Coturnix japonica: one gene and its partners. The protein of the gene in region 2 purifies or fractionates together with the protein of the main gene of each other region. This does not show direct contact. Links are inferred from orthologs where the notes say so. Each region holds a gene or a part of one and is shown on either strand. Other genes may lie near its edges.

Evidence for each region.
Region 1: the proteins of ARID1B (region 2) and BCL7A purify together in Homo sapiens (affinity purification with mass spectrometry; 4 studies listed by BioGRID and IntAct, counting the BioPlex papers as one, with this or other methods). This does not show direct contact. The link is inferred for Coturnix japonica from reciprocal best matches to the Homo sapiens genes ARID1B and BCL7A.
Region 3: the proteins of ARID1B (region 2) and SS18 purify together in Homo sapiens (affinity purification with mass spectrometry; 4 studies listed by BioGRID and IntAct, counting the BioPlex papers as one, with this or other methods). This does not show direct contact. The link is inferred for Coturnix japonica from reciprocal best matches to the Homo sapiens genes ARID1B and SS18.
Region 4: the proteins of ARID1B (region 2) and SMARCD2 purify together in Homo sapiens (affinity purification with mass spectrometry; 5 studies listed by BioGRID and IntAct, with this or other methods). This does not show direct contact. The link is inferred for Coturnix japonica from reciprocal best matches to the Homo sapiens genes ARID1B and SMARCD2.

What each region holds. Positions count from the first base shown.
Region 1 is NC_029530.1:4,908,536-4,916,188, reverse strand, and holds the start of BCL7A (B-cell CLL/lymphoma 7 protein family member A), read right to left. Parts: upstream 4,871-7,653; 5' UTR 4,661-4,870; coding exon 4,569-4,660; intron 1,196-4,568; exon of another isoform or gene 937-1,195; coding exon of another isoform or gene 902-936; intron 1-901.
Region 2 is NC_029518.1:46,218,567-46,226,097, reverse strand, and holds the start of ARID1B (AT-rich interactive domain-containing protein 1B), read right to left. Parts: upstream 4,010-7,531; 5' UTR 3,915-4,009; coding exon 2,217-3,914; intron 1-2,216. UniProt on the Homo sapiens protein: Involved in transcriptional activation and repression of select genes by chromatin remodeling (alteration of DNA-nucleosome topology).
Region 3 is NC_029517.1:93,953,808-93,960,726, forward strand, and holds part of SS18 (protein SSXT), read right to left. Parts: intron 5,555-6,919; coding exon 5,387-5,554; intron 4,724-5,386; coding exon 4,619-4,723; intron 2,473-4,618; coding exon 2,380-2,472; intron 1,657-2,379; coding exon 1,534-1,656; intron 1-1,533. UniProt on the Homo sapiens protein: Appears to function synergistically with RBM14 as a transcriptional coactivator. Isoform 1 and isoform 2 function in nuclear receptor coactivation. Isoform 1 and isoform 2 function in general transcriptional coactivation.
Region 4 is NC_029542.1:1,251,469-1,258,387, forward strand, and holds part of SMARCD2 (SWI/SNF-related matrix-associated actin-dependent regulator of chromatin subfamily D member 2), read right to left. Parts: intron 6,126-6,919; coding exon 5,941-6,125; intron 4,528-5,940; coding exon 4,485-4,527; intron 4,089-4,484; coding exon 3,966-4,088; intron 3,852-3,965; coding exon 3,732-3,851; intron 3,540-3,731; coding exon 3,444-3,539; intron 2,826-3,443; coding exon 2,724-2,825; intron 2,479-2,723; coding exon 2,317-2,478; intron 2,032-2,316; coding exon 1,934-2,031; intron 1,680-1,933; coding exon 1,544-1,679; intron 1,414-1,543; coding exon 1,291-1,413; intron 1,194-1,290; coding exon 1,092-1,193; intron 933-1,091; coding exon 879-932; 3' UTR 1-878. UniProt on the Homo sapiens protein: Involved in transcriptional activation and repression of select genes by chromatin remodeling (alteration of DNA-nucleosome topology).

The DNA of each region.
Region 1 (7,653 bases), on a different chromosome or scaffold from region 2:
ACTGCACCTGCTGATGCTGTTTCACCTTTGGTAGGCAATCACTGGGTTGGAATTTCTATGGCTCTGTACTCTGTTACAGAGATTGATCCACACACTGAGCAATGGACTGGAAGAGATGAAAGCTCACCATCAGGCTGACAGCGAACCAGGCTAAAATTCTCAATTTCACTTGTCCACATCTACCCAACAAACTCCACAGTTTCATTATATATCAAAAAAACAAAACATTTTTCTCCCTGGTTTAACAACTTCTGTTTGTCCATGACTGACTCAAACACAAACCCAATGGAAATGGTATAACTTGAAATACATACTACAATTTACTTTGCTTTAATCTTCCACACTGAAAAGTATCTTAAACATTTTACAGCCAATGCAGAAACTAGATTATGCAACGGAAACAAAACCCATATGTGTATCTGAAATCGTGTTAAAGCATTTTTAAATTCTGAACCATATCTGCAAAGCATTTTAAGGACAGCCAAGGATACATAGGGAAGCATTAATATCAACACTTATTTCGTGTTATGCCCAAGGCATATAAATACCTAGAAGCTATATAATTATATACTCATTTTCCCATTTCAAATAGCCCAAGACACTTAAATGTATTTATATTTTGTTTATTAACACTAAAGCTCCAAAATTGAGTATAAATGCCATGTATAAAAGTAATGTGGTGAGCAAACACGGCAGCGTATATTACACTCATACATAAAGTGTCAAGGCAGCTTTTGCAGCAGCGACGAGCGCTAGAAACATTTGATGGCACAGAAACAGAAAGCCTCTGCTGCCAATATAGCATCATTCAAGAAACGGCTTTCACACTTGTTTGGCTTTTTACGGTGACTACCATTTATCACAGGGATTTGCATTTACACGAGGATTTGCTCCCACATACCCCATCTTCTGTTGATGACCATGAAGTGACGTCATAATGCTGAATTTATCACATCACACTCACTTGCATTGCAACAGAGTTTGGTGAAAATCACAGAATTATGACCTCCCTGTGGGATCAAGCAAAGGAGAAAGGGGGATGGGAAAGAAAATGCCATTATTATACACACAAAGTGCTGTCAGATGCACAAATAAAGGTGTTTTTGAAATGGAGGCTTGCTTTCAGAGCATGCCTATCTCTATGTAGATGTTCGTCCAGCGACTAACATGAAGTACCCCAAATACACGAGGTGTTTCTTGACCATGCTGCAAATACAATTAAGTGTAAAGTAGTGTGAGAGGACACACACTAATGGTCAAACACTAACGGCCAGGGGCCCCTTCTCTCCAACTGTAGCTGAGCATGCTGCAGTAGCAGCCTCCAACTTGTACATGCCGGCACGTTTTTAAGAGTTCTGTTGAGCTCCACGTCGTAGCACGCAGCCTTCCTTGCAGTCACGAGAAACACAGTTTACTCTACCTTATACATACATCCAACTTGCACTAAAGTCAGCGAGCATATTCTGGCTCAAAAAGAAATAACCATGAGCCAGAAAATTCATATTGTAATTCATCCATGGTAACTGTGTTTGGAATGCTACAGGACTTCAGAACAGTTCCCTCACACACACTGGGTATTTTTATTTCAGCTGCCACCAGGCAAACCGCAGCCTTTGCAGGCAGCCACGCAGCCATTGCAGCCTGGCTAATGGGACAACCTGGCAGCAGCATCCTCTCCAAAGACATCACACCAAGAAGTTCTGTACCCTGCCTACTTTTTGAAGGGAAAATCTATTTTAAGAAGGAAGCAAGGGCAGGACAATCTGCAGAAGCTCCTTTGCAGAGCATTACATACCGCTTAAAATATTTTAGCAAGCCTGAATGGAGACAGCAAGTGGACAACCACAGTCCAGAAGTTCTACTTTAGCCAACAACATTGAGAGATCCCAACCAACACCACCAGGTCACATCATCTCATGGGCTGTGGTTACTTACAGATGAGGGCACAGTACTTTTTATCCCTCTCTAGTTGAGAACTATTTAGAATCCACACATACCTGCCAACCTCTAGAACAAAAATAACCCTGTATCTTTTACAACTCACATCGTTACATTTATTCTCAGTTCTTCTTCCAGCCAGACTGAAAGAAATATAAGTATGGTTTAAAAAAAAGTTCAAAAACTCCCTTAGTTATGAAGATTTAACACTGCCGCCACGGAAATGTAACACAGCCATGTACTCTGTAAGACACGTGCTAGATGTTTTCTAAAATAGAAGCTCATTCACGGGAGTGGATTAAACAAAGGAGATAAGGCAGCATTAATCTCAAGATAAAATCCTAACAACTTCACTGTTTACTACTCTCAGCCAAGCTGCAGTAACACCAGAAGCACCAGCTCTCTACCAACACGTGAAGTCAGGCTGCCTGCATTGAAGGGCAGAGAAACTGTCTAAGAATACAATATATATTTTCCAAAGAATGGAGCGTGCACTGACGGAAAGCAACTTCCCACGTGCCCATACAGAGATGTGGCAACAGGAGCACACAGCAGCGCTGCAAAGTGAGGCTGCCACACACCTTCCCATGTCAATAAAGCAGGGCAACACGCACTGGAGTCATTCAACATTCACAATATACACGACCTGACTCTGCTCCTGTTTGGTACTGGAACACAGCGCTCCAAGTGCACGTGTCCCAGAAAACTCTGTTGTATGCAAGGTATTTTAATCTTCAGCGGCTGCATCTCCACAGAAGAGCTGTGGATGGCAACAAATTGCTCCCATTAAGCAAATGAAAACGCACACTTGAAATTGCCTATGTGGCTCCTCTCAAGATGCAGGAATTCCTAGCGCATACAGTTCAGTTTCACAGCACCAGTCTTCTCAAAACACTTAAACCACAGAACGCTGGATTTCTCTGGCTAAATTCCCCACTGTTCTTGACTGCAGGTGGAGGGGAATCATGAGATTCACCATCAAACCACGACTGCCTTAACAAATAGGAGAAATGGTTCAAGGAAATACTTGTGAGATGCACACACCAAAAGCCACATGAATAGTTCTGACCATACTCAGAAGTAATGTCGTATGATTCCGTACAGCAACCCTTGAAACTGCACATGTCCAACCTATTAGATTCATGTTTTTGCTGCCATCTTTCTGTTTTAACATAAGTTTTGCTACTTAGATACATTAACTACATTATTTGTGGGCCAAGACAATTCCTCTTCACCCCACACAGCTCAGGTAACCCCAAAGCTCAGACACTCATGCTTAAAGCGAGGTGGCTCTGGTGAGGGTTAAAGTGTACAAAACCTGTTTGTGCCATAAGATCTGTTTTACAGGTGAAGCTGTAGCAACTGATTTGATGGCAGAGCGCCCTCCCCAAGGGAAAAAGAACCAGACAATCCATTGAGTGATCGAGCTCCTCTCCAACATCCACAAAGCAGGACTCGGAGGAGGTATGCTGCGCTCATGAATGAAATACCTACAGCCAAAATAGTACAGTCCCACACAGCCAACAACGTGTGATCAGAAGCACTGCCTCATCGCTGTACAGCGCTGCAACCCTTCAAAGCTGACCCAGCAGTAAGCAAACAGCACTTAAAAACAGTGGCAGAGTAGAAGATAGTTCCTGAACACGACTGAGCTGCATTGCACAATGGTTCTCTGCAATCCCCATCCCGTGCCCGGCATTATCAGGCACACGTTGTGTCCTTTGTGCAGCTCCGGCCAACTGGCCCATTTGTGCGCTCAAGAAGCAACAAATCCATGCCTCCAGAATATGCAAACATGCCTATTTCTGTTAGTTTTAACAAAACCAAAGTGTCCACTGCAACAGTAACACTCTTTATTTTGTCAGGTCCAAAGACTTTCTGTGGGTTTCAAACATTTCAACCTATTCAAAGCTCCGCACAAAAGACACAAAGACTCCAACTAGGCGGAGAAAGAGGTTCAGTGTGGCACTGCTCCTTATCCCACCTGAAAACACGGCAACAACTGCGTGACCGCATTGTTCCAACACCTCGTGTTGTTTCCCACAATACGAGCAGAAAGAAAAAAGAAAAGACAAAAGGAGAAAATAGCCCAAACAGGCTGCAGGCCTAAAAGTGCTGCGATCCACCAGGGGTGCAGCTTTAACACACAACAAGACAAACCCGGGCTGCACTTATTCTCTTCACACGGTGTAACGTGGGGAAGCGCCCGCGAACTCCACAAGTTGGCGGGTTAGCTCGGAAAGTTGCGAGGTTAAGGAATAGGTGGGAATTAAGAACAGGCTGATGGAGTTTCACAGCGGGGTTGGGAACGGGGCTGGAGAATAAAGACGCTCCCGCGAGGGGCAGCTCCACACACAGCTCCACACACACACAGCCCGCCGCGCTCCGCAGGGCCCGCTTCAGGGGCTCCGGGGGCGCTGGGGGCTCCGGGCCGGGGTTCGGCCGCACAATGGAGCCGCCTCTCGCCCTCACACGCCGCCGCCTCCGTGTGACGGGCAGCGGCGAAATGGCTTCTGGGTGCCGCCGCTCCCCGCCCCCCGCTGCCGCCAGCCGGGCTCGGGGCCCCGCGGGGCGCTGCGGAGGGGCAGGGGGGGCGGCTCGGAGGTCCCGTCGCGGCGCGGCCCGCTCACCATTTGCGCACTTTCTCGATGGCCGCCATCACCCGCTTGATATCATCCTTCGCCCGGCTCCGGGTCTCGGCCCGCACCGACCGGCCCGACATGCTGCTGGGGCTGTGGGGAGGGAGGGGAGGGGCAGGGCGGCGGCCTCAGCGGCGGGAATGCAGCGCTCGGCGCGGCTCGCGGCGTCCGTCCCTCCGTCCTGCCCGCACGCACAATGCTCCCACGGCTCGGATCGCTTCGGCTCCGTTCGGCTCCGCTCGGCTCCGTTCGGCTCCGCTCGGCTCCGTTCGGCTCCGCTCGGCTCCGCTCGGCTCCATTCGGCTCCGCCCGCCCGCCGGGCCCGCACGCTGCGCACGCGCAGCCCGCTCCGCCGCCGGCAGCCCGCGCGCGCGCAAGACGGGAGGGGCGCTGTGAGGAGATCGGCCATGGCGGCTTTGTTGGCGGCCAACAAGAGGAGAAACATCTGCTGGGATGCCCGGTGTGTGCCCACCGTGTGGTTGGACACCAGAGAGCTGAACCCCTGCGCCTCTGCTCCTATGCCAGCAGCCACAGGCCGCCATGGGGCCTCCACACAGCCCCCTCCAAGCTGAGTGAACCCACGACTTTCATCTTCACCTCAGTGCACCCTCCTCCTCACACAGCTGTGCACCACAGACCCACTGTACACCGAGCATCCATCCTGCTGGACCTAATAAAGCAACACACCTCACTGTGCTAATTACACAACCACAGACACTTCCAGAGCGAAGCAGTGATCTCTGTTTAAAAAACATTGGAACGCTTTTGGAGGGCCCACATTATTATTCAAATTGATGCTGAGGATGATGTAAAGAAGGAAGCGTGTTCAACAGCACTTCACTGATCTTTCCACGGCAACTCGTGTCAGCCTCATTATGCTGTTTATACAAACACTGGGAGATGCTGTCCCATTGGTATTACGCTGCTAATTAGAGCTGCTGCTTTCAGAAGGGAAAACAAAGTTTTAAAGGCCAAAATAGAAAACTGGTTTTAATGTATCTCACAGTGCTCTTTGCTGGCAGCTTTGTCTGCGCAGTAAAAATCTGTTCTAGCATCTTGCACAGAACATTTACCAGTGTATATAATCAATACTTCTGCATTGCTTTATTTTTTTGCTGTTGGGTGTTAAGAATGAATACCCCCCTTTGAGTAATGGAAATAGACTGCATTTGGTGTAAGCCCACCTGAAAAGAATGGCTCTAGCTGGGTGATCCATGCAAACAGACAGCGTACCAACCACTGTGCCATGCCTTACAGCTACATCCCCTGCAGACTGATGTCCTCCTGAGTGAAATAAGGACTTTAGAACAGAGCTTTCATGCAGCTTTCTGCAAAGATCCTTTCTGGAAAGCACCGTGTTTACCCAGGCCACGATTCAGCCAGTTCTGTGTAAGGGGGCACTGGAGGTGTGAGCCATGCCCTGGCAGCAGAAGTGCTTCCAAAGAGATTTCCAAATGAAAACCTTCTGCTGCAGTGGGACAGAGGGTGCAGTATTAGGAACACATACAATTGGGAAATAGATCTGATCCCATAGGCTTGTGGCATGTGCTAAACAGGGAGCTAACCTAGAGTTTGAATAATCTGAAGCTATGCAAGAGTTTCTAATAAATACATAATATGTATTTCACAGGTACTCGAGGAGTTTGGAAAATAGAAACGAGTAGAAAACCGTGGCAGCTACACATCTGAGTCTTCATCGATGAATTATCCATCTCATTTTACTGTTCTTTTTTCTGGCTCAGCAATGGATAGGCCAAGAATGCCGGCAGTGAATCCCTCTGCTGTGATTTCCTCTGGAATTTCTTCCATCAAAGCTGCTGCATCTGGAAAGCAGCAATGACAACATGAGACACACAAGAGCAGTGTATAAATGGCGTTCCAGAACAGTAAAATTTACAATTAACAAATAAGTGAATTGAATGCTTTTAACAGTGTATGCAGTAATCACAAAGTACTGTTCTACTAGCTTAGTGCATCAGGGAAACACTGTCAAGTCTGTGGGCTGTCTCACTTTGCAGTGAATAACTTCTAAGGGACCAAAGACAGCTTCTACACTCCTTTGGTCTGATGTGATCTTATGATGCCAATGGTATGCAGGGGCTGCACTGTGTGTGTGCAGTACAAGGGTTCCTGTTCTAGGCTGGTGTAGGTTAGGACATGAAACATACACAAATGCAGTCATCCTGTTACAATATGTACTGCTGCTTGGATGAAATCAATGCTGTAATTTGCATATGGTAGAATTCCTCTTTGCCTTTGGCGTGTAAACCTTCCACTGTGTTTCCAGTTCTATTTCCAAGCCAGCAGATAAACAGCAGTGTAACCCTGTCAGGTTCCAGCTGTATTTTCTTGTTCATTTATTTTTAGGTACACTCATCCCACTGTTGCATGGATGAAGGACAACCTATGATCTATATCTGTTCTTGCACTCATGAGTGTTTTTGACAGCTCTTGGCCTAACAGGGTAAAGGGCTTGCAATTTACATCGTTTTGTTTGGGAACTGAATCAGTCCTGCCTCTGTGCAGTGCAGAATGCTAATCTCATACCTGAGGGATCACACACGTCCAGGTCAGATCTTCCTCCTGTTGGATGCCTGCCCAGCAGGGCAGACAGATAGAACGCCAGCTCATCCTCCATCATATGCTCTCCTGTGTGCATTAAAACAAAACCAGCCCCTTGGGTTACAGTGTCATTAACACAAAAACTACAAGGCAACCTGAGCAAGAACTGTGAACAAACAAAATAGGGTAATTTGGAAGATTTGTTTTTTCTAAGGTGCAGACCATGTCACCAACTGAAACGTGATCCTAGCACTGGAAAACATTAATTCTAGGGAAGATGCGTCTTGTGTCTTGCATGAATTTGGGGCAAAAATATCCATTCAATAGAGAAACTCTGCATAACAGCTCTAGCAACTACTTTGTGCTTGCAGGATCCTGAGCTTCTGTTCCCACTGAAAAACCCCTGGCCCAGGACAAAACACAGACCATGTAGGCCTGTGCCTATGTCAGCAGCCATTTCTGCACAGGGGAGGAAAAAGACAGAGCAGGAAAGTCATAATCTAATATTCTGGGA
Region 2 (7,531 bases):
AAAAAAAGATCTGTGAGAGAGGACACAAACCCATAAATATAAGGAAGTATTTCTAAGGGTCATACTGAGGACATAATGAATTTACTCTCGTGCCAATAAAAATAAAATACTTTTAACAATTCGTGCCATGAGAAATAGCGCTCTGAAGAACCATGTGCCGTGCTGTGCCTCTCGGAGCACGATTTTCCCAGCTTTAGAAGCAATGGATTCCAAACTGCCCGTGTTCAAACGCAAGCGAAAAAACGCGGTGTCCTTACATGAATTACAATAGGGTGCACGCGAGGAGCCTTATTACCCTGTGGCTCCCAGGGACCCCGATAGCAGGGCAAAATTAGAAAGGGAAAAATCGACGCTCAAAAGGAATCTCACTTCCGTGGAAGAAATAAAGGAGGCGGAATGAGACCCACAGACCCGAAGGAGAGCCCTGTAGGCAGCGGGCAGACACAGCCCGGGCTTCTGCTCCTATTTTTCACGCTCCACGCCTCCCCCACAGTGTCACCCCGTCTTTTCTCCGGGTTTTGTTGCTTTCAGAACGCACTGTACGGGCACACCCCGCCGTGGGAGCGCCCAAACATGTACGCCCGCGTTCGTTCTTGCCGGCGCTCACTGCTAAAAGCTATTACCGGATTTAACAGCTCTGTAACTGCAAGGACTCGCTGAAGGGAAAAGCGAGGCGCGCCGTCCTAGCGCGCTGCTCCGCCTCACAGCGCTCGCCGTCCTGCAGGGGAGCGGAGCGCAGGCTCCCACCGGAGCAGCACGCGGGGCTCCTCCCGCCGTTCCCGCAGCTCTCCTGCCCCACTCTGCTCGCTCCTTTGTACGGCGCCCGCCGTCCGCTCCCGGCAGCGCAGTGCACGGCGAGGGGTGCCGCGGGAGGCTGAGCGAGGAGCGAGCCCACACCGACGGCCTCAAGTTTACGGTGGGGTTTGAATCCCCATCCAGACGTATAAAACCAAAGCAGGCATTCTGTTTTCGCACGGCCCTCACACCCCTTGCATAACACCCGCATAACGAAGCGCTTCGGGAGGAGCACAAAAGGTTCCACGCGCGCAACTCGAGAGCGGCTCTCAAAAGCCGCCTTCCCGGCACGTCCCGTTAGCGCGGAGCCCGACCACCACCGACACCAGCGTGGGGCCGGCAGCGAGGAGGACGAGAGAGGGCAGGAAGGCAGGAAGGCATGAGAGCCGTCCTCGCCCCCGGCCGCCCCCGGCCGCCCCCTCCTCGCTGGCTCCCGCGCAGCCGCACCCCCCCACCCCCACCCGGCCGCTCGGTGTCGGCGGGGCCGTGGGTGCCGGCATCGCCGCTCGGCGCTGCTATTTACATCAGCGGCGCGAAGTGCCCAATGGCGAGCAGGGAGCCAATCAGATGGCAGATTAGATGTCAACTCGGAGGCAGCTGTCTGGAGACTGTTGCAGCCCGTTTACCTCCACAATTCAAATTCCAAACCTTGCGGAGAAGCGGAGCCGCTCCTCGACTACGGGCTCCGGCCGCCACGGCGACAAGCGGCGGTTCCCGGCCGGAACGAGCGCGGAGGGGCGGCTCTCGGCGGCGCCCCGAGCCTTAACGCCCCCCCCGGGCCACGACCCGCCGGGACGGGCCCGGCCCCTGCGGATGCGAGGGGCGAAGCGCGGCGCTGGGGCCGGAGCGGCGCCGTGAGTCAGGCGCACAGCGACGCGCACACACGCGCTCTTCCCACAGAGGGAGAGAGGGGAAAAAAAAAAAAAAAAAAAAAAAAAAAAAAAAAAAAACACGAATAAAAAACTAACAGGCGAGCTGCGCTGAGCGGCGTGCACTGCGGTAACTCCGCGTTAGAGACAAACTAATTAGCGCGGACAACTCGCTGTGTGCGGATAGAAAAATACAGCCCGAACTGTTAGCAAAAGAGAGAAGCGCCACGGGAAGCCCCAAGGGAACGCACCGACCCGCACACACACAGCGCGGCCGCACGGCGCCCCATCGGCCGGGCCGGGCCCTCGGCCGCTGCTCCCAGCAGCAACGCGGCGCCGTGAGGCCCAGCCGGAGCCCGTGCCCGCAGCACGGCGGGTGTCGAGAGGGGGCAGCGAGCGGAGGGAGCGACCCACGCGGGGGATGGGGGGGGATGGGATGAAGTGTGGGGGGGAAAGGGCAAATAAAATCTGAATAAAAATAAAGAAAACAAAAAGCGGCGCGGGGACCCGCGAGCGGCGCGCGGGCCCCTTAGCGGGCGCCGCGGGGCTTACCTGCGTCCTGCCGATGGGCTGCGCGGTGCTGCCGGGGCTCATCGCCGGGTGGTTCCTTTGTTGCGCCGCTGCCCAGGCCGGGCTGGCCGCCCCGTACTGAGCGCCCATGTCCTTGCCCATGCCCATGCCCGCTGCCTGCTGGCCGCCCGGGGCGGCCGGCGCCGCCTGGGGCTGGGGCTGGGGCTGCGGCGGGGCGCCGGGGCCGCCGTAGTCGGGGTATCCGCCGCCGTAGCTCCGCATCATGGGGCTGGGAGACGTGAGCAGCTGGTTGAGGGTCGGGGTGGCCCCGGACGGGTGCTGGTTCTGCCCGGAGAACCGCGCGAAGCCGCCGGCCGCCGCCGCCGCCGCCGCCGCGCCGGAGGCAGCCTTGCCGAGGCCGGCCCCGCCGCCGGGGCCCATCATCATGCCGCCGCCCGGCTGCCGGGGCGAACCCAGCACCCCGTAGCCCGCCGCCGAGCCCCCGTAGCCTCCGCCGCCGCCGCCGCCCGCCACGGCTCCCGCCGCCGCCACGGCTCCCGCGCCGCCGCCGCCCGCGCCCGTGCCCGTGCCGCCGCCGCCGCCGGGCCCGCGGCCGTAGGGCGGGTAGTGGTTGTACTGGCTGTTGGGGTACCCTTCGTGCGAGTTCTGCAGGGGGTCCATGCTGTTGGGGGCCGCCGCGGGGTGCATTATCCCCATCCCGGGGCTTTGTTGTCCGCCATGTTGATCAAAGCAAGGCCCGGCGCGGCTCGCCGTAGCGCTGCCGGCGGCGGCGGGGGCAGCGTTGCCATAATAGCTGTTGAACTCCGAGACACCCACCGCGGAGGGGCCGCCGCCGCCGCCTCCCCCGCCGCCACCGCCGCCGCCGCCGAGGCCGCCGCCGCTCCCGGCGCTCGGGGGCGGCTGCTGGGGCTGCTGCTGTCCGCCCAGGGGTCCCAAGCCGGGGTGCTCGTAGCGGCCGCCGATGGGCTCGCCCATTTTGCCGGGCATCTCCTCCTCGTCGGCGCCTTTATTCAGCATCTGCTGCGGCGGCTGCTGCGGCGGCTCGGCCGGAGCGCCCAGGACGCCGTCTTTTCCTCCATGTTGCTGCTGCTCGATGTCTGCGCCGGGCTGCGCAGCGCCGCCACCGCCGCCGCCGTTGTTGTTGCCGCCGCCGCCGCCGCCGAGGCTGCCGCCGCTATTCTGCGCGGGATGGTGCTGAGGCGGCGGCTGCTGCGGCGGCAGCGGCGGGAAGGGGTTCAGCGGCTGCGGCGGAGCGTGGTGGCGGTGGTGCGGGCGGTGGGCATGGTGGTGGTGGTGGGCACGGTGGTGCGGGTGGTGGGCACGGTGGTGGTGGTGGGGCGGCGCGGCGGGGTGATCGCCTCCGACGCTCTTCAGCTTGTGGTTGGGGAGCAGCCCCGTCTCCATGGCCGAGCCCGGGGTGGAGGAGGAGGAGGAGGAGGAGGAGGAGGAGGAGGAAGGCGGGGAGGACGACGAGGAGCGCGCCGCGGAGCCGCCGCCGGCCTCCTTCAGCGCCGGCTCCGAGGAGGGGCCGCCGGCCGCGCTGCCGCCGTTGGGAGCGGCGCGGTGGGCCATGGCCGGCTCGCCGTGCTGCCGCCGGGCCGGCGCGGGGTGCTGCTGCTCGGCCGAGGGGCCCCCACCGGGGCCGCGCTCCGGCGGGCCCGGCGCCTTGCCCTGCCCGTTGTTCGCCCCCGCCGGAGCCGCCGCCACTTGCGCGGCCATGATCACCGCCACATCGCGAGGTCGGAGGGACCGGCGCCGGGACCGAAAAGACTAAAAATCGGGCAAAAAAAAAACAAAACAAAACAACAAGACGGGAGTTCGGCCCCCGCGCTCAGCGAGGGGGGTGAGCCGGGGAGGGGGGAGGTGTAGGGGGGGGTGGGGGGGTATTAGGGGGGGTTGGGGGGGGTTAGGGGGGGTATAGGGGGGGTTGGGGGGGAATTAGGGGGGGTTGGGGGGGGTTAGGGGGGGTGTGGGGGGGGGTGGGGGATGAGGAGCGGGGCGACAGGGCTCGGCCGGGCCGGGCCGTCCCTGCGGGCCGCACAAATCCCCTTCTCGGTCCGCGGCCGAGAAGTGCTACGAGCGGAGCGGAGCGGAGCACAGCGCCTCACGGTGCGCGCCCGCCGCCGCGCTGTGACTTCATGTTGGAACTTTTTTGTTCGGCTTTAAATGAAACTTTTTTTTTTTTTCCTCCTTTCCTCCCTAACCCGGATATGGGGACGCGCACGTCTGCCTCAGCCGCGCTGGCCCAGCATGGCAGCAGCGAGCGGGCGGGCGGGCGAGCCCCGGCAGCCATCGCCCCCTCCGCGCCCCGCGCACTCGCAAAACGCGGACTGGAATCCGCCGGCACCGGCGCTCGCCGCCCGCTCCGGGACGTGGAGCGTCAAGGGGCGGCGGATCGCGATGCCCCGCGCCCGCTCGGCGCTGCGGGGACGGGGCCGGCGGCGGAGCGGTCGGGCCGCGGTCGCTGTCCCGAGGGAAGGGAGGAAAGGAGCGGGCGGCCTCGGGGCTCCGCAGGCGGCGGGCAGAGTTCGGAGGTGTGGAAAGGAGCTCCGTTCCGTTCCTCTGGCGGGGGATGCAGGATGTTTCGCGGAAAAACACGACTTTCTCTTCTCTTTCTTCTTTTTTTTTTCTTTTCTTTTTTCTCCCCTCCTTCCCCCCCTTTTTTTTCCTATTCCTCCCCCCCGAAATCTGTATTTTCAGTGCTGACAGCTATAAAACGTAACTTAAATTCTGAAGCCGTACCATCGGTGCCATTGTCCACATTGCCCAGCTGTCTCCAAATTCTAATGGTCATTTGCGCTGATGATGCTTTTATATATAGGGCTGTTCTCAATATGTTCTCTGTACTTATTTGCAGATAATGGGAGCTGATCAAGAAGAGAGAGGCATGTAGTCTTGTAATTGTTTCCCCAAACAATGTAGTTTCCAGTGGGCACAGGACACTGTGCGATACCAGAACAAAAGTCAAAACATGTCATCCAAATAGCACGTGGAAAGCTGTTACTGGTGACCTACATTTTTAAACCATCCCTCAGAATGGAGGGGGTTTTTTTTGGAGTGTTTTTGTATGACTACTCCGATACAAATGGTACCCAAGCATAAGAAAAAGTAAGCATTACACACTACATTAAACTAATAAAGCATCTGGAGGTCAAATACTCTGCTAAGGAAGCAGCTAGCAAACTGAGATGTTAGCAAACGTCTTCATTGTAGTAAGGGCCTACATACACGGTTTTAAATGAATATTTCTATGCGTGCTGTTAATGATCACCACATTTTCAAATTTCACAATAGATAAATAGGAAATTCAATGATTCTGGTAGAGAGAAATGCAGCATGTCATGGGAGATGCTGTCACGGCCAGGTGGACTGCAGGTGGACTTAATCATTCCCATTGTGAAAGCATTAAAGAACAGAAGCGTCATGCCCTGACATTGAGTTCCATGCCATAATTATTGATCCAGTGCGAACAGAGCAGTTCCAGTCCCTTATTAATTTCAGTTCTGTCTGAAAAGTCAGAAGTACTCAGAAATACTCCATTATGGAGCCAGGTTTGAAAAGTCTCACTGGTCATCAAACACATCGCTTACATTAGAACCGCATTTTTCTCTTTCTTTTGGTACTGTTTGCAAGTGCCGAGATGTTACACGGCTACTAGAAAGAAGAGTGGCACAAAAATGGTGAGTGAGTCTAGCAGGGGGAATCAGGTGTGTACCCAGGGGTCATTACGGCCGGTAACAACAACAGATTGCAGTTCTATGCAGACTGCTCGAATGGGGTATATCATCTTTGTGGGAGAGAGAACAACAGAACTGTACGATGAATTCATGCCAAATCATTCATCAGCTTTTGCCAAGAGAATACTACATCTTTGTTAGTGAGCCTTTTTGACATTTTCTCCTGGATTTTCTTCTTTTTTACATTCAAATGCTCGCTAATTATACACATTAAATAGCGTACATTGATTTTTTTCTAGCCTTTCATATGCAAATACAAATATAGATGTCTACTTGTGTGTGTTTATTTACACGTGTGCTCTAAAATAAAACATAAGATCGACTACACTTTTGTACACATTTTATCTGAGCAAAAATATAGACGTTTAAACCCAGATAGCATCTGCTGACAGCACCTCGGCAGCACCTCAGAACTTCCCAATGTTCTCCACAACTCATGATCAGGAAAATAACCCACAAAGTTTAACAGAGATTTCATTTGAAATGTTTTCTCTGTGAAAAACAACAACAAAAAAAAAAGGTGATGCTTTAAACCAAGGAGTTGGTACTGCTCTTGTTCCTTCCATGTGTTTCAGCAAGTCGGCTGCGGGATTGGAACCAAGAGCCTCTGAAATAGAGGCCCCCAGCACAATGCAATCAGGCTGCTATAAAAGGCAACACATGCCAGTTTTCCTCCCCAATGGCAGATGCCACACCCTCAAGCAGACAGAAGGCACTGCAGTCTGTGCACGGGAAGCACAACACAAAGCAGCAATGGTTCGGTTTTGTACATCACAAATAATGTTGAAATTCCTTTTGCCATCTTTGCCCAGATGATGAGTGGTAGTGTTTGTTAAATTCAGATCCTCCTTTCCAAAAGCTCTCCTTGTATGCACGAATTATGAATTGATTATAATATAATGTAAGAAAGCTAATTGCCATGTATATTACCTACTGCAAAATGATTGCATTGATATTTGATACCACAAGCGCGCTGTTTCAACTTTCTTTCTATTTTCATTGTTTCTTCGGTGTAATTATTTTCTATATGCCAACCTTGTCCAGGCATGGATTCTTATTTTCTTCCCTGATGAATTACAAACTCTGGGATCCTTTTCCAGGATAAACAGTAACATTTTCTGGACGCGTTGTTGGCCGTTGGTGTGCAACGTTGGCTGTGATGTCTGCACAGGCCGCTGAGCCCTGGTGAAAGTTAGCACAGTGTCCCTGTTGGGTCATTGCAGTAGCTGTTAAGTCATACATTGTGATAGCAAAGATACAGAATGCCAACCAATGGTTTAAGAGCTCCGAGGCGTTATTTTGGAGATGCTGGAAGAAACAGCGCCGTTGGGCTGCTTAATTTGTATTTATGTATTGTACATATATATATGTGTTATGTGAGAACACAGTCAGAGGTTTAGGAGCCCATTGCATCAGAGCTGGTTATCTATAAGAGCCTTAAAAGTCCCTTTATCCCTTTTTGTTCGGTTCTTGTTTTGCTTTCTGTTTAAATCCACTGTGCGGTTAGATGAAACAGTTGTCAAATTCACCGTAATTCTCAGTTTCCTCCTTTAGACTGGCATTAGAGTTAATGAGCAAAAAAGAGAGAAGTATGTGGGC
Region 3 (6,919 bases), on a different chromosome or scaffold from region 2:
ATCTACAAGACAGTCAGAAAGATGACCAAGCAAAGACGAGTTCCTTAGCATATTACCATTCTCCTCAGGCCTCAGATCTCCTTGAACTATACAGCTTCTGCTTTGAACAGTGAAACAAAACCTTAAAGATTGATATTAATGACTGAAATGCTGATTTATTTTTGCAAATTAGAAAGCAATTAAATATTAAATTGAGCAGGGCTACTATATCCTAAAAAGTGCTGTGTTCATCTGACAAATGAAGCCTGGCTTTTATTTATTCATGGTCATACTTTACGGTTGAATTCTAAATATTCAGTAATAAATTCTATAAAATGAAATGGAATGTGTTAATTTTGGGCTTCAATGTCTATTTTTACTTAAAAAAAAAAAAAGAAACTAAAAAAGCGCAATTTTGGGGTTTACAAAAATAGCTTCCTCTAGTATTTCTTAACCCAAATACTCAGAATACTAGATTTTATTTCTTTACTTAATCAGAATAGAGAGCTAGACCTTCCTTCTGTTCCTATATTAAGCTTAGCAGAATGTAAGTACACAAACGTTATTTTAGAATTCTAATTTTTTCCATAACATCCAAAAGAAGGAGATTTTCTTAATGTCAGCAGGTCTTCCTTAAAACTGTTTCAATATAACTGGATTTGGGGCAATCTCGGCATTTGTCTACACAGCAAAGAAGTCACCCATGGACTTCCACACGTTTCCACAATGCAGTAAGTCTTAGCATGTAAACCTACCAGAAAGCTAAAGTTAAAACATATGTAATTAGATTTCAGAGATTGCTTCTTAGATGTTGCATATCTTAAGATAAATATGTACAGCTTTACGATGTACAACAACAAGCAGAAATAAGAGCAATATCTGCTGACTTACAGTTTTCACAGACAGTTCACAGAAATTACCTACTATTACTTTAAGTCTCCTGTTTGGGAGTTCTCCTTGAATCTAAAGAATACATCATTTAACTTGTGGCAGATTTCTCATTCTTGCTATACATTACACAGTTTGCACCATCAGCTCAAGCATTTGCAAAACAAATCCTTAGAAAACACCATAGGTAATGCTGCTGGTCTTTTCTTTACTTGTAGGTACAAGAATTTCAATTGAATGATTCATTTGTGTTGGATGAATTTTAAATAGGGGTTTTGTTTGTTTGTTGTTTTTAAAGATTTTGTTCTAAATGCCAAGTCCAGAGATGGAGTGGCGTAGGTGACTCTTTGCCAACTTCATGCCCTCTAGACTGTGTTCACCAAGGACACAGAATAGAGCAGAGCTTTTCTAAATTACAGACGCTTTTGAAGATAGTATGTAGACATGGCTCAGCTTTCTGTGTAACCAGGTTGTCCAAGCTTGCAACAGATCTACTTCCAAACAGATGCTGTTTTCTACACTTCCTTGTTTTGCTCCATTGAAATTGAGAGCATACAGCTTCCTTGCACAAGCCCAGCCTTTCAACCCAGTAAAATCAGGACAGAATAACATACGAAGACCTCTTAGTGTTATCTCCAACTACTGCCTGCACCGTCAGGTTCTTACCATAACCCTGCTGTTGTCCAGGATAGCCTTGTTGGCCTGGATATTGCTGCTGTTGTGGTGGGTAACCCTGCTGTTGGGGTGGTCCTTGATATGCATCTTGCTGCTGACCATATTGTGAGTTTCCTGTAAGATGATTGCGAGAAAGAAGAAACAACTGAAGGTGCTTACTTGATTAAATATTTTTCCTTTTAAGATGCACAGCCAACAACACAAGAACAAAATGAAAATGCAATATTGATTTCAAAAACTGAACAAAACAAAGAAAACTCAAACCAAACAGAAGGAATTCGGCCAAACAAACTGCAGTTAAAGCCAATTTTGCAGAGTTGAACTGCAGCACTTTCAGCATCTCTGCCAAAGGAGCATTGCATTTACTGGAACGTCACAGTCATAAGATCATGACTATACTAAATAAAATAAAAAAGACAAAATTAAGGACAGCTACAAGAGCACAGACTAGCTACACAAGATCAGCAAGCTGTTTCCTAACGGCACTATAATTATACAAAATATATACACACACAAAAAGATTTAGAACTGAACCAACAAATTTATGTTTAAATAAAAATTTCCATTGAGATTAAAAAAAAATAAAAAAATCTCTGAAGTGTTTTAGTCATTTTACTGTTGTTAGAAATGGCAAATTATGGTTATATATTTTAGGTGTTTGCAAGAAATTACTCTGAATGCTTCGAGTTCCCTGCAATTCTCAAGACAGCCAGCAACTAGTATTCTACAAGAGCTTTGCATGGGTATAAGTTGTGTTGTGCAAGAATTTTGGTTCCCGTTGCGGGTGGGGGAGGAAAGGGAATGTATGTGCGTATGTGTGTGAAGGTATATAGATACCTCCTTCGTAGTAATGTTGTGAGGAATCCTCATAAGGCCTATCGTAGCCTTGTTCAGGATACGACGGTTGCTGATAACCGTAATCATTATGACCTACATCAATTCGACAAGAGACAGGAAGAAACGTTAATGGCCTCTGAGTGAAAACCCTAAGAATATTTCATTTCTCAGAAAAATGAAAAAAAATTTCAACTGGATATACATGAAAAATATTTTTCAATTGTATTAGTCAAAGTTTTATTCATATGATTTTCTTTCATACTGAATTAACATGTGACAGGAAAAAAAAAAGCTTAAAGCAGTAGTTTTAGCAACATCACAGCAAAGGATGATCTTAACCTTCTGATAATCCTTGTTGGGGGAAAAAAATACTTTATCTTTCACTCAAAAAAAAAAGAAAGCATTTAGGCCTTTCACATGTAAATAACCTGAATTAAATTAGAATGAACAAAGAAAGCAATTATCATACTTTGTCTAACACCTGTTCTGCTGATCTCCAATTCGAAAGCATATGCTAAAAGCAGTGTGAAATAGAACAAATAAAGCTCAGCAAAGTTATGGATTACAGTCTACATTAAATTTTGCTTTGAAGTGACAGAAAAATAATATTCCCAAGCTTGTTTTTTCCCTACAAAAGTAATTCCTACAAGCCTTAGTGAACTTTTCCTCCAGTCCTGAGCAGAATCATTACAAACAAACTCTTCTATTCAGAGACAGTAGGTATCTCCGATTATGGAACCAATACATGCAGTAAGCACCCCACCTGTTTGATGCTTTAAGAGTAAGTACATCTGACAGATGAAAAAAATACAAGAACATATTGCATTGCTACTCTGGTAAAGAAATGAAGATGAAATTTTGTTTAAATTCTGAATAAAATTAGATCAGGTAGCTACTATAGAAGAAAACAGTATAAAATAAGTGGTCTTTGAAATTACTTCTGGAACTGTACAATACTTCATGGATGTAACCTAATAAAATACACAATCATTAACACAAAGCTTATAATACAATCTCTAGTTCAAGAGAAGTGTGATAAAGAGGTAGTGATAAAGAATGAATCTTTAGAAGGAATAATTCTCAGTGAATTCCTCTGTTCTGCCACAGATCTGTCAGTGATTATGTCCAATTGCCTTCACTATAGTAAATATACAACAATCATTTAAAGTTCACATTTATAACATGGAAGTTCAAAAACAAAAGTTTAATAATGATGAGTTATGCCCACTGTAAAAGAGCTTTGCACACATATATCCAAAAATAACACACGTAAACTTATATATGCATGGCTTGTTGTATCTTAAAATCAATTTAATAGAAATGAAAATTCAGCCAACTAACCTGTGCCCTTTTATTTGCAATGAGCAACAGCTCTGACAATAACACTGTTTAGCTTTGTGTACGTTTGTTTTGTTAAAAAACACTGATATCTACCACATTCCTTGAACTTCTTAAGAAAGCATTATACTGTGCACACTATTCTCACTGCAGTCATGACTCAACGTTTTTGTTCTCCCAGTCTCTGTTCAGTCTAAAAACAGGTCAATTGCAACTTTTCTAACTTAGAACACAACACAATAGCCTTTAGCACTCTAAACTCCACGAGGCAGGAGGACAGATTTATGCAATTCAAAGTTATGGCCTTGCCTAGAAAGCCCTGTGGGGTGGTAGGGGACTTCTAAGGAGGATTAACAGTTACAAGATCCTCAGGGCAGGGACCGTTCCATACCTTTGTGAAAATTACACTGAAGGCCCATACCAATAGCAACAAGAACACATTTGTGTGACATGAAAACTAAGCACTAAGTTAAAAATATAAAATATTTACAGAAAAACACATTTCTTAAGCAAGTTCATCAATTTCAGTAGAATCTTTATTAAAAGAATATCACCCCCTCTTTTATTTATAATGAAGTTATGATTTAATTCATCTCGACTGTACCAGACATACTAAAGATCCCTCCTTTTAGATACACCAATTACAGATTTTTCACTTTGAAATACTAAAACTGTTGTTATAGTTTCAAATGGGAGTGTTACAAATCACATACTCTAAATTGTAAAATTAATTACTCATTGTAACTAAAACTGTATGAACAATTCTGAACTTGGGAGCTTTTGTAAATGTGAGGTATGATATTCCATTACTACTCTTGTCCCATTCCATAATTTTGGGCATATCTGCATTAATACTGGGCAGGTATAGAAAATGGGAAAGTCAACATTTATGAGAGATTACCATCAGGGTAATATTGCTGGTTCATGCCTTCTGGAGGACCTTGTCCACCATGACTGTATTGGTCCCCATAATAGTCTTCCTGGCCTGAGTACTGCTGTGGTGGGCCTGAAAAACCACAACCAGTCAATAGGTAAATAACTTGTTTTCTCTATTATAAAGTCTGCTATTTTCTGATTTTACTATGAGAAATATTTCTCAAATGTACTCCCCACCCATACTGTTGTATTTCGGACAACATACGTAATCTATTTGACTTAACAACAACAAAAACATCTCTATATATTTTACACACACATACAAGCATACAGTTGTTTGGCTGCATCAGATTGAGTACATATATATCAAACTTCAGTTCTGAGATCATTTTGGGAACACATGTATAACAGCACCAAGTATTAAAAATGAAGTTACTCTTTTTCTAGAAAGACATGGGGGGGGGGGGATAAAAAAAGAAAAAAAGAAAAAAACAAGGCTGCAGAACACTGTTCCCTTTTATAATTGAACAAATTCAGAATCAGGAAGGTACTTCACTCTTTTTCTATACCTATCATTTTAATATTGAAACAGAATTCACTTGCATTCAAGTTTAACTGTGATACCAGTAACCTGTTGCTACAAGAAACAAAAAAAAAAGAGTCTGCAAACAAAGTCTGTAACTGGAACACCCAATGATTTCACTGAGATTTGGTGTAAACAAGAAAATTATTCAAAATAATTTTCCAGCTGGTTATTTAAAATCAATGTAAGAACACTGAAGAGAAGGTCTACCTTGCTGTGGCGGTCTGTATGGAGGAATCTGTCTCTGGCCCATCATGTGATTGCCTTGGTTAACTTGGCCCATCATTCCCATAGGTGGTTGCTGTCCCTGGTAATGCTGGCCACCAGCCTGTGGCATGTTGTACTGCTGGGAAGGAGGCTGCTGGTGCATCATTGGACCTATAAAAGAAGAGTAACAAATATGTCTTCTGTAACTCCACTTTAAAAAGCAGATCAAAGTCTCTATTTTCAGTTATTTCATGCACATTAGTTGTTTCTGCACCTACACAAATACAATGAGTTCAGTAATGAAGCTATGAAAGAGAACTCATACTATGTAGGACTGCTTTCTAGACGTCGTCTTCTTTGAACTAGAGATACAAATTTACTCATAAACAAATAACTAAAATTTTCTTCATTTTTCTATGTTTGTTTAAAAAAAGAATCTGCAAAGAAAATGTAGATATACATATATGTAGATATAATACCTGATTGTGAAACCTTGACAAGTTGTGGAAACGTTATTTAACACTGCAAATTCCTTGGGGCACAGTTTTAATATACCTTTAGCTGTTGTTATAGTGCAAGAACAAACCACCTAGCTGTTATCACAAAATAAACAATTTTATTTAGCCTGTAAAGACAAACTACTTGCATAACTGAGTCAGACAATCATGCAACAGGCATTATGCAAAAAGACCCACAGGAATATATGCACTGACCTCCACACAATAGTCCCACACAGATTAGTACAAAAATCTTTCAGTACCAAGCTGCTGAATCACAGAATCACCAAGGTTGGAAAAGACCTAAAAGTTCATCCAGTCCAACCATTCACCTATTACCAAGAACTCCCACTAAGCCATGTCCCTCAACACAACATCCAAATGTTCCTTACATCCAGACATTCCTTTCCAAATTTCTATGAGCCACAGATAGAACATGAGAGATCAAGTACTGCCCATGTTTTAATCACTCAAGAAAACATGGTTAAGGCTGAACGTGTAGTCATGTTAACCAGTAATGAAAACAGACAGCTAAAGAGTGACCCACTGACACAGTACAGCAATGAAATGATAACTGAGCCGTTTCATTTGAATGTAGGTTATGCTGATAAAACTTTTAATAAAGAATAGCCTCTTCACTTCCTCAGAAGAGTTATTTCAGCATTAAAATACGAGAAGAGTTGTGACAAAGAGCTAAAGTTGTCAAACAATCTATTTTCATAATATGCCAATTGAAAAAACTAACGCACATCTTGTAATTAAACAACAAAGAGAAAATAATTAGACTCACTGAAAAAAAATAAAACAAATAAAAATATCAGACTAGACCAACCACACTCCATTTCAAGAGAAAAATGCTGTCATCTACTTGCCAATTTCCACCATTGCATTTCTTTTCCACTATTTCTGTTGTTAATATGGTGCTAAAGCACTACTAATTCCTATGTAAGACTGAAGCGCTACAGAACAAGCTAGGTACAGTCAGTGCCAACAATGGACTTACAGATGGAATGGAATACAAAGTCACTTAGGTCCTCTC
Region 4 (6,919 bases), on a different chromosome or scaffold from region 2:
CAGTGGCCCCACACTCAGCCCCTTGCCCCAAACATCTCCAGTTCTCAGAGCCCTGGGGAAGGGGAAAGGGGGGGAGAAGCTGCTGCCTGCAGGTTCCTGGGGACAGAGCTACCCCCCCATACCTCGTCTCAAACACAGGACAAGTGTAAAACAACAGGGGGGGTGGAGTAATCAACTGATTGTCAAGAACCCAACACTAAAAACTCAGTTACATACAAAAAGAACAGCTTGGGCTGGACGAGCCCACCGACAACACCACGAGTCACTGCATAGTTTGAGGTGATTGAGTGCAGGAAGAGGAACTCTAATATATTAATCAAATACAAACCCACTGTACAAAATGTTATTTTTTTTTTCCTTTTTCTTTTTTTTTTTCTTTTTTCTTTTTATAAAACCTGTTCACAAAAATAGTGCAAAAAAACATCGGGCACCAGCAGCAGGGCTGGCATTTGGAATGACAAACTTTGGTTAAAAGAGAGAGGGGGGCAGGGCTGAGCCTGCCCTCACGGTGGTAGGGAAGGGCTGGCAGGGCAGGAAGCAATGCCAGGAGGGGGCTTTGGCCAGAGGCAGGGCAAGGAGGGGATGGGGGCAGACAGCGTGCTGGCATCCATTGCTACAGGGAGAGGCAAACTGCAAGATGCAAAAGCAAGGACGTGTTAATGCAGCAGGATTTGGGGTAGGGAGAATTAGGGACCCTCTGCTGCTCTGCCTGTGGCGAGAGCTTCCTGGCTGAGGGGAGCCCAGGGGTACGAGAGGTTCCAAATCCCTCCAGGCACGTAGGGTTTGTGCAAGTGCTGTATTTGATTCCAGTAAGAAGTACCGACAGGCTCAGGCAGCAGGGAGAGGAGGAGGAACAGCTCCTGAGCCCTGCTGGCCTCTTAAGTGAGGCGGATCCCAAGCACTTGTTCCAGTTCCTGCCGACGCTGCTGGACCTGGAGGAGGCGAGGGAGGTCAGGCAGGGCTTGGGGCAGGCCCTGTCCCTCTCTGAGCACCAACTCCTTCCATACAAGCAGTCCCTGCTCCCTGTTTTCAGCCTCCCTGCTGCCATCTCAGCCCAGAGGAGCACCCCGCCAGCACAGCACAGAACCCACCTTGGCAAAGATGTGTCTGCCCACAGCCTCCTGGGCCCAGGGCTGTTGGTAAAACTCAGCTCGTCGCTCCTCCTCAGGATTCCCAATCACATCTGTTATGATCTAAGCAAAGCATAAGGGAGAGCATAAGGTGAGCGCTATGGCTGGCCCCTGCTCAGCCTCCCTGCCTCTCGCCCTGCCCTACCCTCGACATTTTTACCTTGAGGTCCCTCCTCTGTGATTTGATCCACTCCTGGATGAAATCCTGCGGGTTGTTGCTGAAGCTCAGCATGAAATCACGCTGTGTCTTCAGCTGGTTGATGGATTCGATGGTCTCATGGATCTGCAGAGATGACAGAAGGTGAGAGAGGCAGGTGGAACAACTACATGGGACCTGGAGTTCATGGAAGCCCCCAAACCAAGACACAGCTGGCACCAAACCCCCCCAGTTCAGATAGGGGGGAGCCCCTCACCTTGGCATCCAGTGAGGCGATCTCCTGCTGGTTGGTGGTGGAAGCCAAGAAGTTGCTCATCTGAGCTTTCAGGGGATCATCCACCTCCACGTCGATGTCGTAGCAGGCCGTCTTCTTCTGGTCATTGGGGTCCACGCTGGAAGGAGGCAGAGTGTTGAGGAGGAGGCAGATCAACCACCCTCAAAAGCAATACAAGGACTGCCCCAAGGAGCTCCTGAAGTTATTGGGCTGATTTTTCCCCTCCCAACAACCTCTGTACTCACTGCTGTTCTGAGATGGACATCTCACAGCACCTGCAGCCCTGCATCCTCATCAAAGAGTTACCACCCATTGCTCCATGCAGCCCAGCCCCCCCAAAGGGGGTATTGCCCAGCACTCCCACAGCCCTACCTGATGGTGTGGTTGATGATGATGGGATCCGGGTGCTGCAGGAGCCCTGCTAACTTCATGGGGATCTCAGAGAAGCGCATACGGACACAGTTGAAGATCTGGAGGGGTAAAAGCAGAGCATTTAGCTGCCAGTATCAGGGGCTCCTTCCACCCACCCACCTGAGCAGGAACAAGGTTTTGCTCAACCTTGCTTTGTGCATGCCAAGCTGATAGTTGCACAACAGAGCATGGGGAGGGGGACAGTGACCACTCCAAGCCAGGAACAAATGCTTTTCTTGGCTTTGAAGGATGGGGAATGGTGCTCTCCTCCCCAGCAGGGACCCACATAGAAACAAGAGGGCAAGGGCATCCCAGAGGGAGGTGAAGGAGAGCCGTGGACTCACCTGTCGGAAGTAGCGGTTGCAGTTGATGTACTCCTTCTCGTGGCTGTCCTGCAGCTTGTTGTGCTTGATGTACAGCCAGAGCGCCTGCATGATGCTGGCACGGGTCTGGGTGTGCACCCCCAGCAGGCGAGCCAGGCGAGGGTCCAGTTTGTATTGTGGTGGCTGCAGGGACATGCAGAATTAAGGGCATGTTTGGCATGTGGCCCTTCAGTGAGCACAGTGTCCTGCACAGCCCTCGTGCTGCTGCAGGCTGAGGGCTCATTCCTAGAGCTCCTCTCCACTGCTTTCTGTCCCTGTTCTGTATCACAGCACATTACCCAACTGCCTCCCTCATTCAAGACCCTCCCCAGCTTGTTTCAGCCCACTCAGCTGTGCTGGAGGGCAGCATGGCACTGCTAACGCCTTACCTGGTGATCCAGCATCAGCAGCAGGGTGCACTTCACATTGACATCGCCAGGACGCTTCACTTGGAAGCCATCAGTCTCCTGGGTCGTGGGCAGACGGTGCCACTAGGAATAAAGGGACACTGTTTAACTTGGTTTCACCAACACTGATGAGCTCCAGCCCAGCTGTAGGCAGTTCAGGTGGACTACGGGAGCACTGGATTGGGCTGAATGCTTGATTCCAATTGCTCAAACAGCTCCCAGAGTCACTGTGGGATCACAGTCCTGCTTCACCCACTATAGGGGCTCGATGCCACAGCAGCTCTCACAAACCATCCCACCTAATGGGGATTTACCTCCAACAAGGGGGTATCACCACAGGAATCAGTATTTGCCATAAGTACAGTCACAAAACTGAAGGAGCCTGGGGCTGCCCAAGCCATCCATCAGAGCAGATGCCTCCCAGCTCCACCCATGGACACGAGGGAGTTAAGAACCAACCCTGGGGCTATCATGGAGCAAGCAGCCTGCAGCTGGGAGCCATCCAGGTGAGAGGGGCTGGGCTGGCCTCACCGGGCTGCCAGCCAGCACCACTGAGCTGCAAACTGCAGCCTAGGAAGTACAGCAACGTGATCCTCGGGGATGGCTCAGCACTGCTGGGTAAGCAGGGCTACCTCCCATTGCACTGAACAGCTCTCATCCCTCCTGGGGTGCAGCCCCGCAGTGCAGCCAAGGACATCTCACCTCCACCAAATGGTTGTCTGGCCCGTACAGCTCTTTGTCCAGCTCGATGACGAGGCTCTTGAAAAAGGAGGAGAACTTCCTCTTCTGTTTGCTTGGCTGCAAAACATTGCGTGCGAGGCTTGGCCTTGATGCTGCCAACACCATGGAGGGCCCCAGCCCAAAACACCGCCTGCCTCCAGCAGCCAGGGAGAAAAAGGCTGCATCTATCCCAGCCAGGCTCTCAGCACAGAGCACCAGAGCTCTCAGCCCTCCTCCCACTGCCACGTTGATCCCTGCCCAGATCCTTACGTCCTCCAGCAGTTTGCCCTCCACGCGTAGCTCCCAAGAGGCCACACGCTCACCACCCTCCCCTTCTTCTTTGGCCGGGGTGAAAGTGTTGGAGATGTAAATCCTCAGCTTCCGCTTTTGCTGTGGAATAGGAAAACAAAGAGTGGGGATGCTTGGAGCGAGAGGATGGCTGCAAGCTCCCATTTCCTACCTCTACCCTCCCTCAGCTGCTTGCCCTCCTGGCCAGCCACGCACCGTCAGTGGTTTCTTGATGGCCTCTTGAATCTCCATCCTCTTCCGAGCGATGGTTTGGTCCAGCTTGCGCTCAAAGGCCAGGAGGTCCATGTAGGCCTGAGATTCTGGGACAAGCTCCCGGATCTATCAAATGATAAAAGTCAGTCCCTCATGTGCTGAAGGTGGTGCTGCATCCCATTTCAAGCCCAGCATCTTTACCAGCCCACAGAGCTGCACTGATTGGAGCTTGTCACTGTACCTGCTCCACATCACAGGCAGGGATTATAACCCTGCATTGTCAAGAGGAACCCCAAGAGAAAAGCTTGGGAATGACCAGAGGTCTGCATCGCAAGCCAGGGCTGCTCCCTGCTCACCCAAAGCCCTGCTTGTTTTAACTGTGCACATCCCTCTCTCTAACCTACAAGACTGAAACGTTCCAGGCATTTCATCCAATTCATCATGCAGCACGAGGTTCAATGAGATCGTCCTACCATGGGGGTTTCATCGTCAACTCCTTCCATGCACCAAAGTGACACTCACCCTCTGTGGCAGGACTTTGTCAGCCATCTTCCTCCTCTTCACCCTGCAATTAGAATGAAGTAAAAGAAATCATCCTGCAGCAACCTCAGGACACTGCAGATCTCATTGGCTGCCTGTCTTGGGGGACACAGCGTGGGGGCTCTTTTGGCCCCACCCAGGCCATGCATGGGGCCAGGCTTTGGGGAGTGCTGTGATGCCATGGGGATGGATCAGTTCAAGCCAGGTTCCAAGATCCTACTGCAGCAAACAACGTGATCCAAGGGGAAATGCCCCCATCAGCTACAGGACAGGCATTTCAGAACTGCAGGAAGGGAATGAAGAAAGGCTGTAAAAGCAACTAATAGCAGAAACCTTGGAAGCAAGTGGATAAGACACTGTACCCCAGGAACAGAGAGAAACACATGGGAAAATGCTCTCTTACTTGGCCCCATTTTTCACAGTTACGTTATAGCCCAGCATGCACAGGACAGTTCCTTTCCCTTGACAGTACCTAAAGCAACAGGGCAGCAAATGTGGCACTAAAATGTGGCACTACTGCTGCCATCCTGAGGCATCCCAGGATTTGGCCACTAAGGGCTGGTGCTGCCACCCTTATAATCCCCTTCCTTCCACAGCCAGTCAGGAGCAGGGAAGCTCAGCAGAGCTCTGTGCACAGCCCTGAGCTCCCCAGCACAGCTGATCCCACGCAGCCACAGCTTTATCCAGCTGCTGACGTCCCTGTTCAGTGGGCGAGGACCCATCAGCCTTGTGTCCTTAATCCCCAGCTTGCTCTGGAGCACAGAATGGATGCACAGCCCTGGCATAGAGACACTGGTCACTCCCTGCAAAGGGATCATAAAGCCATCAGCCTCACTGTGCAGCAAGGGCAGGGAACAGGACCAGAACATCCATTAGGACTGAGGGACCCTGAGGAATAACCTCCAGTAATCTAGAAGCCCTCACAGAAACAGGAACAGAGCAGAGGGATTAGCAGCATCATAAACAAGCGAGGAGCTGCTGGCAAAACCTCATGGCTCACAGAGACCATCCCAAGTAAACAGCCACAGATCTGGGGAGGATCCCTGCAACCTGCCAGAAGCTCTCTGCAGTTCTGCCTGTCTCCTTCCAGGGCTGGGAATTGAGTGTCCATCTATCTCTGTGCCTGCCCAGGACAGCACAAAGCCCCTGAGAACAGGGAATGGTTCTGACAAGCTGCTGCTTAAGCTAAAGCATTCAGCTGTTTGGTTAGCATTGGGGAGATCAGAGCATGGGGAAGCTGCATGCCAAGTGATGCACCCCAGCCTGACCCACCACCCCAGCACTGAGCCCTGGCTGCTTTCCCACCAGCTGCGGTGCCAACAACTGGGCCATGTTGTAGGTTTTAGTGGAGAAATGCAACCAGAAAACAGCAACCAGATGTAGAGAGTGAACCCCTCCGCTCCAGACTGGCTGAGGGTGCTCCTGTGTCAGCCCTTACCCTCTCCTCTGGGTGGCCATGGGTGGCTGGGACTGGGGAGCCAGCAGACGCTTCCTGAAGGGATCCATCATGGACTGTGGCAGGCCGGGTCGCAGTGGGGATGCTGCTCCATATGGGGGTGCTCCTGGAGGTCCCACTTGCAGCCCTGCCATGGGCATACGGCTGCCTGGTGGCATCCCGGGGCGCTGGCAGGGGAGAGAGAGACAAGAGAGGGGGGTGTTAAACATGGGCCCCTTAACCAGGGCAAGGACATCAGGAGGGTGGCCTTCATTCCTGATGGATGTAGTGCTGAATCCTTTCACTTCCAGGCACCTACACAGGGCGTTTACAACCCCCCCCCCCCGTGGGATGTTTAACTTCTGTTGCATGAATTCCAGCCTGGAGCAGTTCTTGTGGTCTCTATCTCCAGCATCAGCAGCTGACTCTGGGTCTGCCCCATGCACAGCCCTTGTGTGCTCAACAAAAGCTCCCAGCACCCCACTGCTGCTCAGCCCTACTTGCTCCAGCACGCTCTGCCTGCTCTCTGTTATTCTCTGATCCTCCAGCTCCCCCCTGGCAAGGAACTGGTGAAGCTGGGAAAGCCACCGAGCCAGCAGAACAGCATTTCTTCCCCTCTGCAGGTTCCCTGACATGCCAAGACAATTCCTGCAGCTCCCCTGCTGCCTTCTGACCCACATCCTGCAGACAGACACAGAGCTTCGGTGCACAGGAGCTAGCAAAGCCAACTCGTTATCCCAAAGGGGCCAGGAGTCCAGCAAGGAGAGCTCAGCCGCAGGCAATGCTGCAGGCTGACGAGCTTATCTGCATGTAGGCATTAATTCCAGTGCAAATCCCACATAAGATCACCAGCAGCAGCCAGCCTGGCCTCAGCAGCTTTTAAAGGCAGGCTCAGAGCCACACTGTGGGTGCTTGGAGCCAAAACCCACTCACCTCCTTCATTGGAATAGCCCAAAAGCCTATAAATGCAAACAACAGAATT